Linked DNA regions of Ovis aries. The protein of the gene in region 3 interacts with the protein of the main gene of each other region in a biochemical or structural test. Links are inferred from orthologs where the notes say so. Each region holds a gene or a part of one and is shown on either strand. Other genes may lie near its edges.

Region 1 (6,280 bases), on a different chromosome or scaffold from region 3:
TTTTTTTTTTTTTTAATTCACTCTATTCCTTCTATTTGGTCATTTTATTTCCTCTTGGTTTTGGTGGCTGTCATTTGAAAGATAAACATACTTGAACTAACAAAGAAAAATTAACTTTGCTATCCGGAACAATGAAAGGACATTAGAATTATTTTCTTAGATCTTTCTTCCAGTTCCTTAATATTCTTTTCAGCTTTGCCAATCCTTTAATTTCTTAAAAATTTCAATTAATTTTTTAACTCAAGGTTATATTTGAGTCTTTAAATAATAGGCCTATTTTTCTTCTTTTGACAGTGTCTTTTTCATTTTTCAGGTTTCCAGTTCTTTCAAACACACTTATTTTCCAGTTTCTAGCTGATATTTTAAATAAATGAAATTCTTGAGGGAGGGGTGTCCAATCCCTTTTGGTTTCTGCTGGTTCTCATTTATGGTAGATTGTTTAATCCTATGTTTAAATATTTTTTATTATGAATTTTCACTGTGGCAGATAGTACACATTTGCTTCTCGAACATGTATAAGGGCAGGCCCAAAGTCGCAAACTCTTAGGGACCTTGTAGAGTTCAGTCAAAGAGAGACAGGCTTACTTCTCTCTTTTCTGTGCTAGGGTAAGGACTGGGGCTATATCTATTGAAATCTAGTCAGTTAACTCCCCACCCAGACCTAAGCCTTGTGGCCCTTAACACTTGGTTAACACAGAACTGAAACATCTCTTCCCCCTTCACCTCCCCTGATGTGTGTGCGTGCGCGTGTGTGTGTGTGTGTGTGTGTGTGTGTGTGTGTGTGTAGGGGGGCTCTAGATTCAGCTCATGGGCTCACTGACCAGTTTTTGGTTCCCTCTCTTTGGGTAGGTGGCATTAGTGGTAAAGAACCCACCTGCCGATGAAAGAGACATAAGAGATGTGGGTTCAATCCCTGGGTCAGGAAGATCTCTTGGAGAAGGGCATGGCAACTCACTCCAGTATTCTTGCCTGGGAAATTCAATGGACAGAGGAGACTAGCGGGGCTGCAGTCCATAGGGTCACAAAGAGTTGGACATGACTGAAGCGACTTATCACCCTTGGCCTCTGGATATTGTCCTTACTTTATTGGGAACTTATTTGTATATTTAAAGTTTTTAATTATTATTCAAATGTAAACACATTTCTAGTTTGGTTTTTTTTTTTTCAGCTTATATAGATCTCCATATACTGACAGAAGCGGGAATCCCTAAATTTACTTTAAAAACATGATCTTTGACTCTGAGCCTAGTGAAATAAGATACCCACATAATAGATTATGAAAAGAAACACACCTAAAAAGTCAGTTTATTCCTTTCCCCCGACTTCTCCTTATTTTCGGTTTACTGGTTTTGCTGTGCTTCTCATTAAAAAGTATGTTTATAAAAGTATAGTTGTAACTCCAGAAGGATTAAAGATGGAATGACTTGAAATGGATTTGGATTATAGAACCGTACAAATTCTTACTGTGTTGGTTTATCTTGAAATCAGAAAGTAACTTTCACATCTTAGACCTGTAAAACTGTACAAAGAAAAAGTGAAAAAATGTTTTCTATGTGTAAAGGGTTGTGAAATAATGAGAGCGCACACAAAATGCTGGGATGATGCTCTTGTTTTCACACCTCTATGCCTGCTGAATCTATTCCCCTAAATCTCTATTCCCCTAATCCCTCTCCTCTCCCTCTCATCCTTCAGTACTACCAATTCAAGTTACAACAGCTAATCCCCAGGGGGAAACAGTCCTAGCCTTGTCTTCCCCTTTCTTTCCCCTCTGACACTCCTCCAATTAATCTGACTGTACTGTAAACCTTTGCGGTTTACTATTGTGCAACGTCCCCCGTCCCCCACATCTCCTTCACCCTCCTTTCCCCCAGCCCCCTCCCCCACAAATCTGGGGAAATCCCGTTAAGGCAGTGCCACTGGCATTACTCATTCATCCCCATTCAGACTTTCCCCAGCATTTATTAAGGGCCCTCAGCTCCTGCCTCTCACTCGCACTCTCCTCCGCTCCTCCTGCACTCTGAGAGCCTCTTGCCTCGTCCCCTCCCGACAGCGGTGGGAAGAACGTCGTCTCTCCAGCAATGCACATCTCTGTGATTCTGTTTTGTGCTCTCTGGTCTGCAGTGTCGGCGGAGAACTCAGATGATTATGAGCTCATGTATGTGAATTTGGACAACGAAATAGACGATGGACTCCATCCCACCGAGGACCGTAAGTTCGTTTTAACTCTTTCTCTGCTAACCCTTAACTACATATCTACCTCCTTAGGTCTAAGTATTATACATATATTCTGTTGCCAATGCAATAAACAACAATAACCAAAAAAGAGTTTTGCCAAAGAGAAAAGCACGTCAGGAAAGGAGGTTTCATAAAGTTACTTCTCTCAGATACGTAATGGGCCGAACTGTATGAAATCGCCGGTATTCGCCTGTTCTGAGAGAATTGCCATGAACGGCAATTTCATCGAGTTCGGCTTATAAAACTTGCAAGGTTTCCTTAAAGGGAAGGGGGTCCTGGGGACGGGCTGTCACTTGGCGACCATCGAGGGAGGTCGGCATTTTACAAAGAACACCCGAGGGAGGGTCAGGTCTGTAATGCGTGTATATTCCCCACTCTAGCCACGCCGTGCGACTGCAGTCGTGAGAACTCCGAGTGGGACAAGCTCTTCACCATGCTGGAGAACTCGCAGATGCGGGAGGGCATGCTGCTGCACGCCACCGAAGCCGTGCTCCAGGGAGAGCTGCAGAAGCTGAGGGCCGAGCTGGGCCGGCTGGCGGGCAGCCTGCAGAGCCTGTGCGCGCCGGAGGCCCCCGCCGAAGCCAGGCTGGCCCGGGCGCTGGACGAGCTGCTGCAGGCGAGCCGCAATGCTGGCCGCCGGCTGGCACGACTGGAAGAGGCCTGGGCGCCGCGGCCGCAGGAGGAGGCGGGGCGGGCCCTGGGCGCGGTGCTGGAGGAGCTGCGGCGGACGCGGGCCGACCTCCGAGCTGTGCAGGGCTGGGCAGTCAGCCGCTGGCTGCCGGCAGGTAAGGACGCGGGGACTGGTGGGGACCCCTGCGCGGCTTCGTTCTCAAAGTGCGAGTTGCGGGAAACCGAGTCAGCCAACCAAGCCTCTAAGGGCAGGCTTTAGTGTGAGGAAACATACCGGCTCACACCCTTCTGTTTCGGCATGCGCGGTCACAGAGCTCAGATACATCATAAAAGGAGGGAAAATTGCTTTCAAAAGTAGTCAGTCTTCAGTCCCGAGGAACCCTGAAGATAGCTGTGTAGGTAACCATCACAGTATTGAAATAGACCTCAAGGGCCTCCAGACTGACACTTGATCGGACCAGGCGTTAGAGAAACTCTATTGGCGAGTTATAAGAGTGACTGCTCTCAATGTCCAGCTTCCCTCCGTTAGGGATTTCCACTTCTTCTAATATTAGCCTGCCTCTCTCTTTAAGGGAGCTCTGGTTCCCCGCGCTATTTCAGGACCCAGCCTAATTTTTAGGAAAGTTTTCCAGTCCCTGGCTGGCCCCTTCTCCCTACCAGTTCTAAACAAGAGACTTGAGGTTGAATCTGATCTCCCAAGGGCCCCTGCCCCGAGCCCCCTGGGTCTGTGAAATAAGCTCCAGAGTGAGCTCCAAGAGTGTGAAGTTTGGAATAAACCAGCAGCTGAGGGATCCACAGTGGGACAGTCAGATGTAGGAGGTAGTTGGCATCCAGGCAGTTCCTCCGGAGTTGTGGAGGATCAGGGTGAAACAGAAGAGAAGCAGTTCAAACCAGATGCAACCTGTCCAAGTCCCATGTGATACTAGTGAACTTCCAAACATATGTGGGCCTGAAACAATACATTTTAAAGATGCCTCAAGGAAATATAGAGAAGGTTTGGAGCGAAGAACACTCCTTTACAAAAAGTCAGACTTTCTAAGAAATGGTGCTATAACAATCATTTGTGGGTTATATTAGAAAATCCGTGTTCTAGGTAAGAAAATATAACATACACTTTTCCCTGTTCATAAGCAACTTATGAACAAAAAACAATTACACCCTTCGTTATGTCCAATAAAGCAACTCTTACTATATGGGGTAGGAGGCAGAATCAAGCATATGTGAGAGCATATTTCATTTAAAATTTCAGATTTATACCAAAATACCAGTCTTTCCTAAATAATTGAGAACTGTTTATCAGTACAAACCATGTTTTTTAAAGAAGGGCTTCAGAGGGGGGAAAATCATAAAATAAACATACCATAGATCCTTAGTGTAAGTGACAGGACAAACTATAATTCTCTGGCAGTTTTAATGGATGAAATTTCTTGTCTTTTGCAAATCACGTAAAATCACTGTACATATCATGTACTGGGAAAACTGAAGAGTTATGCTAACTTTCACCTCCACCTCTGCATACCAGTTAGAGCAGAAGAAGGATGTATTTCTGAATTCAAAAGTGTTAATTCTCTTTTTTAAATTTTATTTTATTTATTTTTTGTTAATTCTTATTACATCCATTCATACATTTACCCACATGCTTTGATTTTTCCTCTCTTGGTTTCCTGCCAGCTTGGCTCCTAAGGGATTCCTAATCATTCTGTTGTCAGCCTCTTAAGAACCTGGTTTTAATTCTGTTTGGTCTTTGATAATATAATCAGAAAAAAACCTATTAGTTAAAAGCCATTTCATGAGAGAGTTTCTGACATTTTAAAGCCATATCAAGGGTCTCAATCACCGACCCCCAAAAGAAGCCACAGAAAAAACTTGCCAACATGCAGTTCTACTCATTGAACCTACATAACCAGCGCAGCCCAGAGGGGAAGCTGGGTCTCTGAGAGGCAATCAAGGAAGGCTTTGGAATGTAATCCTGACTGACTGGGCTTATTAAACAGGAAATCAGTTAATTAGATTGCAGTAGGCGCTCTCTCTGAACACTGTTTTACTGAAACATTAGACAGTATCTAAAATGCCCAAGCATATGGTGATCTTTTGTTCCATGATCTTTGTTTGATTTAAATGACAGGTAGAAGAGTATGCATCTACCAATTTCATTTTCAAAAAGAATCAATGCCTCATTAAAAATTGATTTAAAAAAATCTTTAGAAATTCAAATTATTCAGGGAAAAAGTTAATACCAAAGTATGGCAGGACCAATTTTGTGCTTTAGTGTGATGGTTACTTTTATAGGATTTTCTGAACCTCAATATCTTCTTTGACTATTTCAAAAGGATAAGGTCCATGTGCTTAATTTTTCTGGGTTGGAGCCCACCTCTCAGCCACTTGTAGATGGTTAACTTAGTCTATCACACTACACATGGACATTTGGTTCCTGCAAGTCTTGTTTACCACTTAGTCTTCAAATGCTCTGGGAATTTGCTTTTTAAAGCTATCTTATGGTAAATCTTCTTTAAAGGTTGTTATAAAGTGAATACTTAGCCCTAATTTTTGCTGTTGTTTAGTCACTAAGTCATGTCCAACTCTTTTGCGACCCCATGGACTGTAGACCACCAGGCTTCTCTTTGAGATTTCCCAGGCAAGAATATACTGGACTGGGTTGCCATTTCCTTCTCCAAGCCCTAACAGATTTTTTAAAAATTCTTTAATTGGTCTTATATATGTATATATTTGAGTTCAGCACAAGGTAGAGCTCACTTATTAAAGCTTTTAGCTTTAAGACCTGAAAGGTCTTCACTTCAGCATCTGCAGCTCCCTGACTGGCCATGTGACCTGGAGATGGACAGAGGTGGGAGCTCCCACCTCTCATGTTTGAAAGTCTCCTTCTAAGTGTGTATTAGTGGAAATATGTCCTCCATCCAGCCCCTTAGAAAAATTCACTCTTCCTTAAAGATTTTCTGTTAGGGCTTACATAGTACTTGTAAGCATTTGGACAAAGTGAGAATTTTTAAGCATATCTTTGGTCTACAAAGTATTCCCTGGTGGCTTAGAGGTAAAGTCTCTGCTTGCAATGTGGGAGACATGGGTTTGATCCCTGGGTAGGGAAAATATCCCGGAGAAGGAAATGACCACCACTCCACTACTCTTGCCTGGAAAATTCAGTGGACAGAGGAGCCTGGTAGGCTACAGTCCATGGGATCGCAGAGTGGACATGACTGAGCAGCTTCACTCTCTCACTCTTGGTCTACAAAGCTCTTCTCAAATGTTACATACTTGTTGCTTACAGACTTGCAGAATTTAGAAGGAGAAGGGAAGAGCCTTTGACAGATAACTGTTAAGCCTGGAGAGATTGTGGGGCTCATCAAAAGCTATACAGCTTGCTAGTAGTAAAACAAACTGAATTCCAGTTCTTTTAGCC
Region 2 (6,383 bases), on a different chromosome or scaffold from region 3:
TTGTTTGCATGGATTGAGGAGAAAACAGGAGATGGGGAAACAGAGATTGTCAGTACACAAAACCCTTTCCAGGAGTTTTCCAGTAAATGAGAGCAGAAATGATGAACAGTAGCTGAAGAAGTGTGGAATCTTGGGATGCCTGACATGTGGGATCCTTCCTCCCTTCTTTTCTCCTTTCTGTAAAAGATTAAATATATTACAGCATGTTTGTCTGGTTTGGGGAATGATTGAGTAAAGATGAAGAAATTAATGATGCAAAAGATAGGATACTGATGGAAGCAAAACTCTGAGTGATTAAGAGGGTCTGGGATCCTTTGCAGAAGTATAAAGGTTGCCCTTAGATATAGACAGACAGTTCATCCTTTGTCATAAGAGGGAGGCAGTATATGTAAGTAAAGATTCAGAAAGGCTGGTAGATTTGGAGATGGGAGGATGTGTAAAGATATCAGTTTGGATTTTATAGCAGGAAGACCACATTAATAGTTTTGATTTAACAAAAGACAGTATGTCTCCTTCAAGGAAATGTTGGGATGTTGGGGTAGTTAGTCTAGAGCTGATGCAGTGATTCCATAGTCAATTATCCAGGCTCCATCTATCTGCAACCTCAAATGTGCATCTCACCTATGGTGGTCGAGAAGTGATACTCTAGCTCCTATTATTATGTCTGAATACTAGATAGAAGGCAGAGGGTAAGTGGAAAGGAAGAGCACAAGAGAAGTCTTTAAAGGGGGCAACCTGGAAAATGTCCTTATTCCTTCTGTTCACATGTCATTGGCCAGAATGTAATCACATTCTCACTCCTAACTGCAGAGGAGGCTGGGAAGTTTAGTATTTGAGTAGGTGACCGTGTGCTCAACCAACCTGTTCTTACTGGATGAGAAGTGGAGAATGGGTATCGTGCAGCTGCCAGAAGCCTCTGCTACAAGAAATACAGTGGCTTTCTTCTAATTTCTCAGTAAAGAGCTGTGATTGCTGCACATAAGAATGGATGAGATTCTGGGGGTTTGAAGAGAGAGGAGGAGCTAAATAGCCATTTGAAGACTGGATTAAATAAAGACCCATAGTAAGACTGGCTTCCCAGCCAATGCAGGAGATACAAGGGGTGTGGGTTTGATCCCTGGGTCAGGAAGATCCCTTGAAGAAGGAAATAGCAACCCACTCCAGTATTCTTGCCTGGAAAATCCCATGGACAGAGGAGTCCATAGAGATTTTCTATGGACTTCCCTGGTGGCTCAGATGGTAAAGTGTCTGCCTACCATGCGGGAGACCTGGGTTGGATCCCTGGGTCAGGAAGATCCTCTGGAGAAAGAAATGGCAATCCACTCCAGTACTCTTGCCTGGAAAATCCCATGGATGGAAGAGCCAGGTAGGCTACAGTCCATGGGGTCGCAAAGAGTTGGACATGACTGAGCAACTTCACCTTCACCTTCATGCATCCATAGGACTGTGGGATGCAGTCTATAGAGTAGCAAAGAGTCGGACACAACTGAAGGACTGGGTGCATCATCTTGATTCCTCCCTGAATCTTGACATGAAGAAACTCTGACATATGGTACGTTTGTGATCAGGCACATGTTTCACTGGACCAGAGATTTCCTTGCAATGAAACTCAGCTGACAAAGAAAAAATTGTCCTTGGCTCTGTGGATGACATGTTTGTTTTTGGTATTACCCAATTTGTGAACTGGAGGCATCTGAAAAGGGTTGGCAATGATGTTCATCTCCAGAAGCTATCCTCCATGAAACACCAAGACTCGGGCTGAAGTGGGTGCTAGAGATGCACTATGATATGTTCTCAGATGGCCATGCTTCTATTAAGATTTTTTAAATTATTTTCTCAAGATAAATACCCAAGTGGAACTCTCAGAGAGCTTCTTCATTTTTCCTGTCACAAAGAATTGGTGATCTCATAGTCACAGGAGCTTGTAATAAATAACCAACATTGATTTCTCTGTTCCAGAATTATTTTGCTTCCCTTATTTCCAGAGCCCTGACACTTGCTGAGAAAGCTAGTATTGGAAAATCATTTACGTGGTGGCACAGACTCCCCCACTGCCTTGGATATAAATCCATGCAGGATGGAGCAGGTCTAGAGGCAAAGAATCTAGGACTTCTGGTTGCTGAGCTTTCAGCCAAAGACATCTTCTCCAGAAGGGTGAATCCAGATGCTAGAAGTATTGGAGGCATAGACTGACCATGGAGAGGCTGTTGTGGTGCTTCCTGGCCTTGGTCGGCTTCTCTAGTGTTTTGGGCCAGACAGGTAGGGGCTACTCCAGGATGTGCCAAGTATTTGATTTGAGTGATAGGAGTGGGGCCTAAGATTATACAAGGTGAAGTCAGAGGGACATCCAGCATGGGTGAGTGTGTGTATGTCTGTGTGTGTGTATGACACTGAGGAAAAATCAGTCTATTTCTCAATCCCAAACTCTATTTATGCAGGAATAGATCTTTGTGATCTGAGAAACTTCTCACCTCTCCTCTGCTTTCTGTCTCACAGACTTGCATAAGAAGGCCTTCGTGTTTCCCAAAGAGACGGAGAATTCCTACGTATCTCTGAAAACACAGTTAGAGACCCCACTCAAAGCCTTCACCGTGTGTCTCTATTTCTACACAGAGCTGGCCCGAACCCGCAGCTACAGCATTTTCTCTTATGCCACCAGGCAGCAACCTAACGAGATCCTCATATTTTGGTCTAAGGGTAGAGGCTATACTTTTGGAGTACATGGGAAGGAGGTATCATTCCAGAGTTTCGAAAATACTCAAGCTCCAACACACATCTGTGCCAGCTGGGAGTCCACCTCCGGAATTGCAGAGCTCTGGGTGAATGGGAAACCCCGGGTGAGGAAGAGTCTGGAGAAGGGAGCCTCTCTGGGGAAAGACGCCAGCATCATCCTGGGGCAGGAGCAGGATGCGTTCGCTGGGGGCTTTGATAGAAACCAGTGTTTGGTGGGAGACATTGGAGATGTGAACATGTGGGACTTTGTGCTGTCGCCGGAAGAGATTAACACTGTCTATATTGGTGGGAACCTCAGTCCTAATGTCCTTAACTGGAAGGCGCTGAACTATGAAGCAAAGGGTGAGGTGTTCATTAAGCCTCAGCTGTGGTAGTGAGGTTGGGCTGTGGTCCTGGAAGTGCTTCCTGGCAATTCCACCCTATGGCTCTGGACCTCCCCACCCCTGTACACACCGCTGCAGGCCTGCTCTGTGAACACAGGCTTTTGCTTCCCTGCTCTACCTTCCTTAACACCAGATGGAATTTTTAAGTATCTGGCTTGGGAGATTGGAAAGCTTTGCCCACAAGGTCAGGATTGCAGATGCTTTGGGATTTCCTGTTTTTTTTTTTTTTTTTAAATTGATTATCTTAGATTATTTTAGAGATAATCCCTTACCCTCACTTAGATAAGAAGATTAGGACCCAGCAAGGAGAAGTGATTTTTTTTTTTTTAAGTCAAAAGGTGAATCTTTGGGCTGAGTAGGGAGTGCTGGTCTCATATCTAATTTCCTACTAAGAACCCCCCAGAAAGTAGGAGAGTCTTCCTCATCTTCACAGGGCTCTTCAGTGTCAGAGTTCTGACACTGGCCCAGGTCTTCTGAAATGGGAAACCTAGTGATGCAAAGTACCCTGGAAGGGCAATCAGAAAGGCCCAATACAGAAAACCTATATTTTTTCATGGGCAAAGTGGAGGCATCTAGTTAGTTACTTTAATTGTTATTGCCAAGCGTTTACATAGCCATGTTTTTGTTTGCTCACAGTGATTTCTTCATTTTGTGGTTCTTTTGGGGAACTCTTCTCAAACACCATCTGAACCACATGGGACGGTGCATCCCCACCTGTTTCCCCAACATAGCCAGGCCACAGAGTGGGTGTGACTCACACTGAACTATCAGAGTAGCCAAAACTTGTTTGGAGATTTAGGATGGCGGGATGGTTACATGCTCCTAGCTGGACACATTATAGTCTTTCCCAGGACTGATTTATGAACTCTGGGAGTGAGACATCTTTCTGCTGGAATTCCCATCTGAGAGGGTATTAGCCTGAGACTGTCAGCAGCCATCTTGTCTACCACATGGAGAAAGACTGTGAGGAAAGAGGCCAAGCTGTGGTCAGCAGAGCTGAGGAATTGACAGAGCAGTGGAGCCTTGACTGGACTGTTTGAATTTCTGGATCTGCTTTGCCTGGAACCAGATCTACACCTGAACCTCTCATGTTCATGAACCAGTAAAGCCCCTGTTTATATTAGTGAACCTGAGCTGTTATCTGATGGTTGTATTTCAAGTGGTGACTAACTTTTCTAACAATCTTCTGAAACCAAGTCCCTGTGAGTTCAGATGAACCATTACCTGTCTTGCAGTGACATAGCTAATGGCTCTCCAACCTCCCATAGGGATTTTTTTCTGTCGAGCGCAACCCCTCTTTTGTGATAGCTGGTAATTTGTGTGAGGCCAGTTGTGGGGGTGTAAAACTCTCACTCTAGAGAGTAAGAGGTATAAACTATTTTGTATAAAATAAGCTACAAGAATATATTGTACAACATGAGGAATATAGCTGATATTTTATAGTAGCTATAAATGGAGTATAACCTCTAGACATTGTAAGTCATTATATTGTACACCTGTAGCATATAATATAGTACTGCAACTATACTTCAGTTAAAAAAACTCACTGTGTTATTACTCCAATATGAGGAACAAAAACTAAAGCTCATTGACATCCAAGAATCTGCTGTCAGTTTCAATGGCTGGAATGCACTTTCCAAGCTGCTTAAGTCCCTTGTAGAGAAAGACCCCCCAAGGGTGATGGCTGCTGGTTTCTTCCAAAGGTGTCCTTCACCTTGGCTTTTTAGTACTAAGTGAGCTGTTGAAATTACCCCACAGAAGTCACACTAAAGTATGAACTAGCCCTGTGACTATGTATCAAATAGCTACTTTGGGGAAGGCATACAGTAGACTAGTTAAACATAAAGTTTCTGGAATCACCCTGCCTAGGTTTAAATCCTGGCTTTACAACTTACTATGTGACTTTTTGTCTTGGTTTTCTTGTCTATAAAGTGAGGAGAAATAATAGTAATTAGCTCAAAGAGCTGTTGAAAGGATCAAGTGAGATCATGCGTATAGAGCACTTTAGGGTAGTGCCTGGCACATAGTAAACTCTCAGGATAGTTATCTGCTATTATTATTATTGAAGAGAAGGGGATGACAGAGGATGAGATGGCTGGATGGCATCACCAACTCAATCGACATGAGTTTGAGCAAGCTCTGGAAGTTGGTGATGGACAGAAAAGCCTGGCCTGCTGAGTCCATGGGGCACAAAGAGTTGGATATGACTGAGCGACTGAACTGAACTTTGTATGCTGTCCGCAATCAAAGGTGGATTATATACCATTGAAACACAATTTGGTGGAATTAGTCTGGGTTGATTGCAGTTGAAAGGTCTGAATCTTAACCAAAAATTAAACTCAGAATATTAGAATGATAAATTTATGAGTGTTGATTTATGAACATTGATTCCCCTAATTGACTTTTGGTAACCATTTGAAAGCATAGAAGTTAAGGGTAAGGACTTGCCTGGCGGTCCAGTGGTTAAGACTCTGCACTTCCAATGTAGGGGTCTCAGCTTTGATCCCTGGTTGGGGAACTGAGATCCCACATGCTGCACAACATAGACAAATAAATAAATTTTAAAAATGTGGAAAAAAAAGAGAAGTTAAGGATATGTTTTCCTGGGTAAATATGTGAGTGCAAATATTTTTTGTTGTCTAATTAGGGCAGATCCATATACCCTGACATTCAGTTAAGAAGAAGGAAGGGTTGATTTTTTTTTCCCCCTAGTTAAAGAATCCATTCAGGAGTTATGTCTTAATTATAGAAGGCTATCCCAACTCCCCAGGGATGTGGGCTGAGCTAATATTTTTCTCAGAATTCAATTACTGGTACCTTGCCACACATAGTTTAGTGGACACCCTCTGGTCCTGATCATTTTAGCCAGGGAAATTTTTAAAGCTGGTATTTGCATTCAGTGAACATTTAAAAATCTCAATAAAGCATTTCTGGAATGTTTAAATAACTTAGCTTACCTAAAGATTCTTCATTGTAATCTTGTTAGAGAAGATATCCCAAGGTAACTGGGGAATTATTGGACTATATAGAGTTGTTCGACATAATACAATTAAATGTTATATGACATCTACCAGAGAGGATTTGGTAGGTTAGTTCTGAGCAATCCTTTGTCACAGCGAATGGAGAGTAAGATCAATTATTCAGTAAGGCTGATGTTAATGTAGCCATGTCATTCACACTAGTTTTCCTTAATAGCAGGGATCATGCATCCAGTTTGTTCAGAAGTAAAATCAGGTGTTAAGGCTCAAGTTAAGAAGACAGAGGGCC
Region 3 (6,295 bases):
ATGAACTTTACAAGGTCCCTTGTGGGATAACTTTGCTGTGATGTAAATACATTTGGGTTGATCTGCCATTTTCATAGGCTTTCCCTATGGCTCAGTGGGTAAGGAATCTACCTGTAATGCAGAAAACAAGGGAGATGCAGATTTGATCCCTGGGTCAATCATATTCCCTTGCAGAAGGAAGTGGCAACCCACTCCAGTAATCTTGCCTGGAGAATTCCATGGACAGAGGAGCCTGGAGGGCTATAGTCCAAAGGGTTGCAAACAGTTGGACAAGATTGAGGGACTAAGCACACAGCACCATTTTCATAAATCCATCTTAAACAAGTTTAAATATCTTTAGTATAATTCTTATGTGGATTGAAATCTGTTTAATACTGTTAACACTCTCATTTTAAAAGAAATTGTGGTTCGAAAAATCATTTTAGATTTATGCTTGCAATTGCTATTAAGGTCACTGACATGTTTTCTAAAGTTACAGTTTTCTTTCCTGTAATAACTTGTTTAAGTTTGCCAAAATTTTACGAGGTACTGTTGGAAAAAAGAGTATTGTTACAAAACAGGCAGGAAAGAAGTTGAGAAGTAAAGGAAGCATCCCCAGAAAAGACTCTGTTCAGTTGACCTGACATTTTTCTGTATGTGATGGTTTTAGGAAAGTCCACAACACCTTCCACACTCCTCTCTCCAAATATTAGAGCCTAAGTCCTCTCTACTGAGTGTGCAGGACTTAGTGACCATTTCTCATGATTGCACATGACTGACGTGACAGTGTGACAAACTCATACCTGCTGTGGAGGCTTCCTCCTCCCTGTCTGCTGTCACTGGCCCTGAGGAAAGCTAGATATCTCTCAAGCAACCTGCGCAGATGACCACGAGGTCAGGTGCTGAGGCCTCCCCCAAAAGCCAAGAGAGTGAGCCAATTTGGAAGCAAAGCCTCCAGCCCAGCTCAATGTCCAGGTAACAGCGGCCCAGGCCATTACCCAGTTGCCTCCCAAACAGAGTAATACATAACTAGCCAGCGAAGCCCTTTCTTTATTCTTGACCCACAGGAGCTGTACGAATATGGAGGTGTATTGTCTTAAGCCAATGTGTTTTCTGGAACATTTGTTAATTAGGACTATGTATCTAATATAATGGGCATCCCACTTGGTGCTAGTGGTAAACAAGGGCCCCGCCTGCCAATGCAGGAGACATAGTACAGGCAGGTTTGATCCTTGGGTTTGGATGATCCCGTGGAGGCAGGCATGGCAACCCACTCCAGTATTGTTGCCTGGAAAATCCCATGGACAGAGAAGCCTGGTGGGCTACAGCCGATGGGGAGGCAAAGAGTCAGACATGACTGAAGCGACTTAGCACGCAGGCATGCAGGTATCTATCTACAATAGGTGTTAGTTGATGTGAGTTTTACTTAATGGCTTGAATCTGATATTACAATTATTTTGCATGCTAAAAATTTCATAAGTGCACCCATAAATTATGGAAGAAAAACTTTGCTTAAATATTCAAACATTTAGCTTTAAGACCACTTTTGGAAAGAGTTCAGTTGTTAATGAGAAGAGAAGGGTTGCACTGGAATATCTGGTGAAGATTTGTCAAAGTTTCACATTTCTCTTTCATATTGTGTACTCTTTCTCCTCTTGTTTGGAAATATGCCTGTAGTCTTATTCTGCTGCTGCTGCTGCTGCTAAGTCGCTTCAGTCATGTTCGACTCTGTGCGACCCCATAGACGGCAGCCCACCAGGCTCCCCCATCCCTGGGATTCTCCAGGCCAAGAACACTGGAGTGGGTTGCCATTTCCTTCTCCAATGCATGAAAGTGCAAAGTGAAAGTGAAGTTGCTCAGTCATGTCCGACTCTTAGCGATCCCATGGACTGCAGCCTACCAGGCTCATCTGCCCATGGGATTTTCCAGGCAAGGGTACTGGAGTGGGGTGCCATTGCCTTCTCCAGTAATCTTATTCTAGCTGATTAATAAACCATCACTCATGTACCTGAGAATCAGGAGAAACAATTCATGTCTGCCTGTTCCTCAGCAAGAATAATGGTGATACAGCCTTTCTTATAAGTGATCTGGGGCCAGAGCTGCTTTTAATTGTAACACTAAGGACTAGACAGGGAGCTTTATTATGTTGCAAATGTTGTTCACGAAGAAAATTACCAAATGGACTAAAATAGCATGCGACAAATTATGAGATGAATAATGCAGAATGATGCATATTCTATTCACATCTTGAATTTCATGTGGGATCTTAAAACTCATTAGAGTTTTCATTTATAAAAACTTGAAGACAAATGGATTATTAAAGAAAATGAAAGACAAAAACATCATAATGAAGAACATATAAGTTTTATATTTTGGAGTAAAATCTTGGTTTTTAATATGATTTAATTACCTATATTAATACATGTATATAAGCTGATTTTTGCTTTTCATTTGTATTGGAGTTGCTTTTAAATATTGGGTTAGCTTCTGCTGTACATCAAAGTGAATCTGAATCTGTTATATGAAAATACACACACACACACACACACACACATATATATATATATATATATATCCCCTTTTCTTGGATTTCTTTCCCATTTAGGTCACCAGAGAGCATTGAGTGGAGCTGCCTATGATACACAGTAAGTTCTCCTTAGTTATCTATTTTATCCACACCTGCCAGGACATGGAATCAACCTAAATGTCCATCAACAGAAGAACAGATGCAGAAGAAGTGGTACATATACACAGTGAAATATTACTCAGCCATAAAATGCGATGAAATTGCACAATTTGCAGAGACATGGATAGACCCAGAGACTGCCACATAGAGTGAAGCAAGTCAGAAAGAGAAAAATAAATATTGTATAATATTGTTTATAAATGGAATCTAAAAAATGCTACGGATGAACTTATTGCAAAGCAAAAATAGAGATACAGGCATAGAGAATGGATGTATAGATACAAGGGGGCCCAAGAGTAGAGGGATGAATTGGGAGAGTGTAAAAAATAGATAACTAATGAAAACAACTGGTAAGTTTAAAAATAAAAGTGACAATTTTTTTAAGGTTGTCAACATTTACATTTCTCTCTGAAAAGAATTCTAAATATATTGGCACTACACTGGAAATTAAGACTGTCTTTCACATTTTGTAAAAGGAAAATATATCTTGTACCTACGCTGGTTTTTAAAAACTAACAGTGATGTTAATGACCTTTAATAGATTTATTAAGCTATAATCACAATACAGTCAACTGAATATATTTAAAATGAGATTTGAACCTGCAAAAATCACCATATGTAAAAGTATAAAAATAACCATTGTTCTCCAGAGCTTTCTCATATTACAAGTACGACTCTCCTAAACATTCTGGAATTATAATCTACTTTCCTGTGACACATTTTCTATTCACATTTTCATGAGCATATTCACATGACCCCATAATCTACATAGAGTACCTTTTTGCACTGTGGAACTCAGATGACATAGAAAAGTATTCATTTTGTTTTCCCCTTTTAGGTGAATGTCTGATCATTTTTCCATTAAGGTATTCTTATGGTTATCTCACAGTGCAGACTATTTTAACCAGTTTATTCAATCAAAAATACACACAAAGGAAAGTAGATAGTTATATTTAGAAGGAAGGCTGAGTGTTCACATCGGTTTCAACTTACCCTGTCCATGAACAGTGTAAAACCACAAGGTGAGAAGGACATTGATTAACAACAACATGTTAGATTTTCCCAATGGTACATTCACACAAATACTCCAGTTGCACTGTTTAGGGTTCAAAAATCTGCTTCATTTGCAGTTACCTAGTGTGACTGAATTTATGCGTTACAATGAAGTTGGTTAATTAGTGCCATTTAGTAAATATCAAAGTTCAAAGTTTTGAAATGTCCCTACCTTGTTTCTGTTGGTAGTTTCCCAATAAGTCATTGTATTCACCACCTGATATCTATGTGCACAACTTTCTGTGGCTGATATGGACTAGCTCCAAAGCCATATATCAGATACTAACTTTCAATAATATATTTCAAGACAGTAGGTGAAGTTTTTACCAGCCATTTGGGTCATCCATATTTTCATGGACTGGGGAAAGTGAATAAATTAAAAAAAAATTATAGTAGAGCTTAAAAACAGTCATATAAATTATAGCACAATCCCTTCACTTGCGTGCTATTTATGTATGGGTTCTATGATGATCAACTTCCTAATGTTGTTAGCATGTAATTGACATAAAGCACCGCATAAGTTTCAGGTGTATGGCCTAATGATGTAATTTACATATATCCTGAAATGATTGCAACAATAAGGTTTGTGAATAGCCATCATCTCATACAGATATAAAAGTAAAGAAAAAAGAATTTGTGATGAGAACTCAGGACTTACCATCCTATTAACTTTCATACTTAAGATACAGCAGAATTAGTCATATTAATCATGTTGTACACTACATTCTTAGTACTAATCTATCTCACAGCAGGAAGTTGGTACCTTTTGACTGGCTTCATCCAGTTCCCCTATCTCCAGGCCTAGCCTATGGTAATCACAAATGAGATTTATTTTTCAAAGTATTTGTTTGTTCTTTTAAGTACAGTTGGCCTACAACATTCTGTTACTTTCTGTTACATAGTGTAGTGATTCCATGTTTCTGTCCATTTCAAAATAATTGCCACAGTAAGTCTAGTTACAATCTAGCAAGATTTTAAAAATTGCATAATTATTGACTAAATGCTCCGCACTGAATATTTCATGTTTATGACTCATCTATCTTGCACCTGGAAGTTTCTCCCCTTAACCTCTCCCTCACCAGAGGATCTGGAGTGCATCCCTTAAAAAGACACATACAGAATTGTTCATTGCAGCTTTATTCATAAATGGCAAAAATGCAATTGTTCCCATGAACATTGAGAAAATGGATAAAACATTTGTAGCATTTTCATATGACTGATTAATACGCACTAATTTAGAAAATGATAGAGAGTGGTTTGGGATAATCTCACAGCTCTTGTAAATGGAAAAAAATCAAACACACTCACTAAGTACATATCTTATAATTTCATTGGTAGGCTTTCGAAAGGTTGAAAACCTCATCATGAAGGTGGTGTAACGTGTGGTACAGAATGGGATGAGACACAAGGAAACCTGAGGTTGTGTTGGACATTTACTCAATTTAGTCCTGGGTAGTAGTTACACAGGCATACATGTGTGTTAAAAAAATTATCAATCACGTTAAGATTAACTTTAGGTGTTTAGCTATTTCTATGTTTAACGTTGCCTTAAAAATTACCATTTTCAGAATAAAATGTAAAGTTAAAAGTCAAAATCCAATCCAGAGGACACACCTTATGTCTCAAATCAAAAGGACTTGAAAGAGCCTTGAGTTTTTATCCCCAAACACAAGAATTTGGGGTATTGGTCATACTAGATTCTACTGAATAATATGAAATCCTATATGAAAAATTAAACAAATTTGTGAATGGGGTGCTATTTTCACTTTCAACATTTGAATGTTTCTTTTTTTATGTATACCTTCTATAAAAATAGTTGTGGACATTTCCATAAGCTAAAATTTCCATACAACTTATGTTTTCATAAAGAAAACTACAGATTGTTTAAATGTTTATCAATAAAAGAATGTTGAAAAAAAGAAAAAGATAAAGTTACCTGTGGCAGATTCATGTTGATGTATGGCAAAATCAATACAATATTGTAAAGTAATTAACCTCCAATTAAAATAAATAAATTTATATTTTTTAAAAAAGTTATTGTTTTTCTTCAAACGTTCATTTCTCATTGAACACAAACCTCCACTCCAAAAAGAAATAGTGTAGTTATGGAACATGGAGAGACTTCAAAAGGCATGAAGGAACATTTGGGATGATGAAAATATTCTACATCTTGATTATAGAGTAATTGTATAGATGTATTGGAAAGAAAATGGAAACTTACTCCACTATTCTTGCCTGGGAAATACCATGGACAGAGAAGCTTGGCAGGCTACCCTCCATGGGATCACAAGAGTTGGACACAGCCTGTCACGACAAAACTATATATATTTTGTGAGACTCATCATGTTGCATATTTAGAATAGACAGGTTAAACATGTCTTCTCTGTAAGGGTAATGGGAAGTTCCACAGAGCTCTAGGTGGGGGAAAATAGAAGGACTTTAGAATTCTCCAAAGAAACTAAAAATCCAAGGCAATAATAGAAGAGCATTTTCATAAAAGTTAAGAAAAAAAATGAAAATCAAGAGTTTTATATCCATACAACCAGACAGCCAAGTATTACACTACAGAAAATATTT

Evidence for each region. The genes of interacting proteins can lie anywhere in the genome.
Region 1: the proteins of complement factor H-like (region 3) and PTX3 form a complex in vitro, tested with the Homo sapiens proteins (3 studies listed by IntAct, with this or other methods). The link is inferred for Ovis aries from reciprocal best matches to the Homo sapiens genes CFH and PTX3.
Region 2: the proteins of complement factor H-like (region 3) and CRP form a complex in vitro, tested with the Homo sapiens proteins (12 studies listed by BioGRID and IntAct, with this or other methods). The link is inferred for Ovis aries from reciprocal best matches to the Homo sapiens genes CFH and CRP.

Annotation. Positions count from the first base shown.
Region 1 is NC_056054.1:230,868,811-230,875,090, reverse strand, and holds the start of PTX3 (pentraxin-related protein PTX3), read left to right. Parts: upstream 1-1,987; 5' UTR 1,988-2,078; coding exon 2,079-2,208; intron 2,209-2,615; coding exon 2,616-3,020; intron 3,021-6,280.
Region 2 is NC_056054.1:110,718,942-110,725,324, reverse strand, and holds CRP (C-reactive protein), read left to right. Parts: upstream 1-2,090; 5' UTR 2,091-2,195; coding exon 2,196-2,259; intron 2,260-2,496; coding exon 2,497-3,107; 3' UTR 3,108-6,060; downstream 6,061-6,383. UniProt on the Homo sapiens protein: Displays several functions associated with host defense: it promotes agglutination, bacterial capsular swelling, phagocytosis and complement fixation through its calcium-dependent binding to phosphorylcholine.
Region 3 is NC_056065.1:5,715,863-5,722,157, forward strand, and holds the start of complement factor H-like, read right to left. Parts: upstream 3,788-6,295; 5' UTR 3,717-3,787; coding exon 3,659-3,716; intron 1-3,658. UniProt on the Homo sapiens protein: Glycoprotein that plays an essential role in maintaining a well-balanced immune response by modulating complement activation.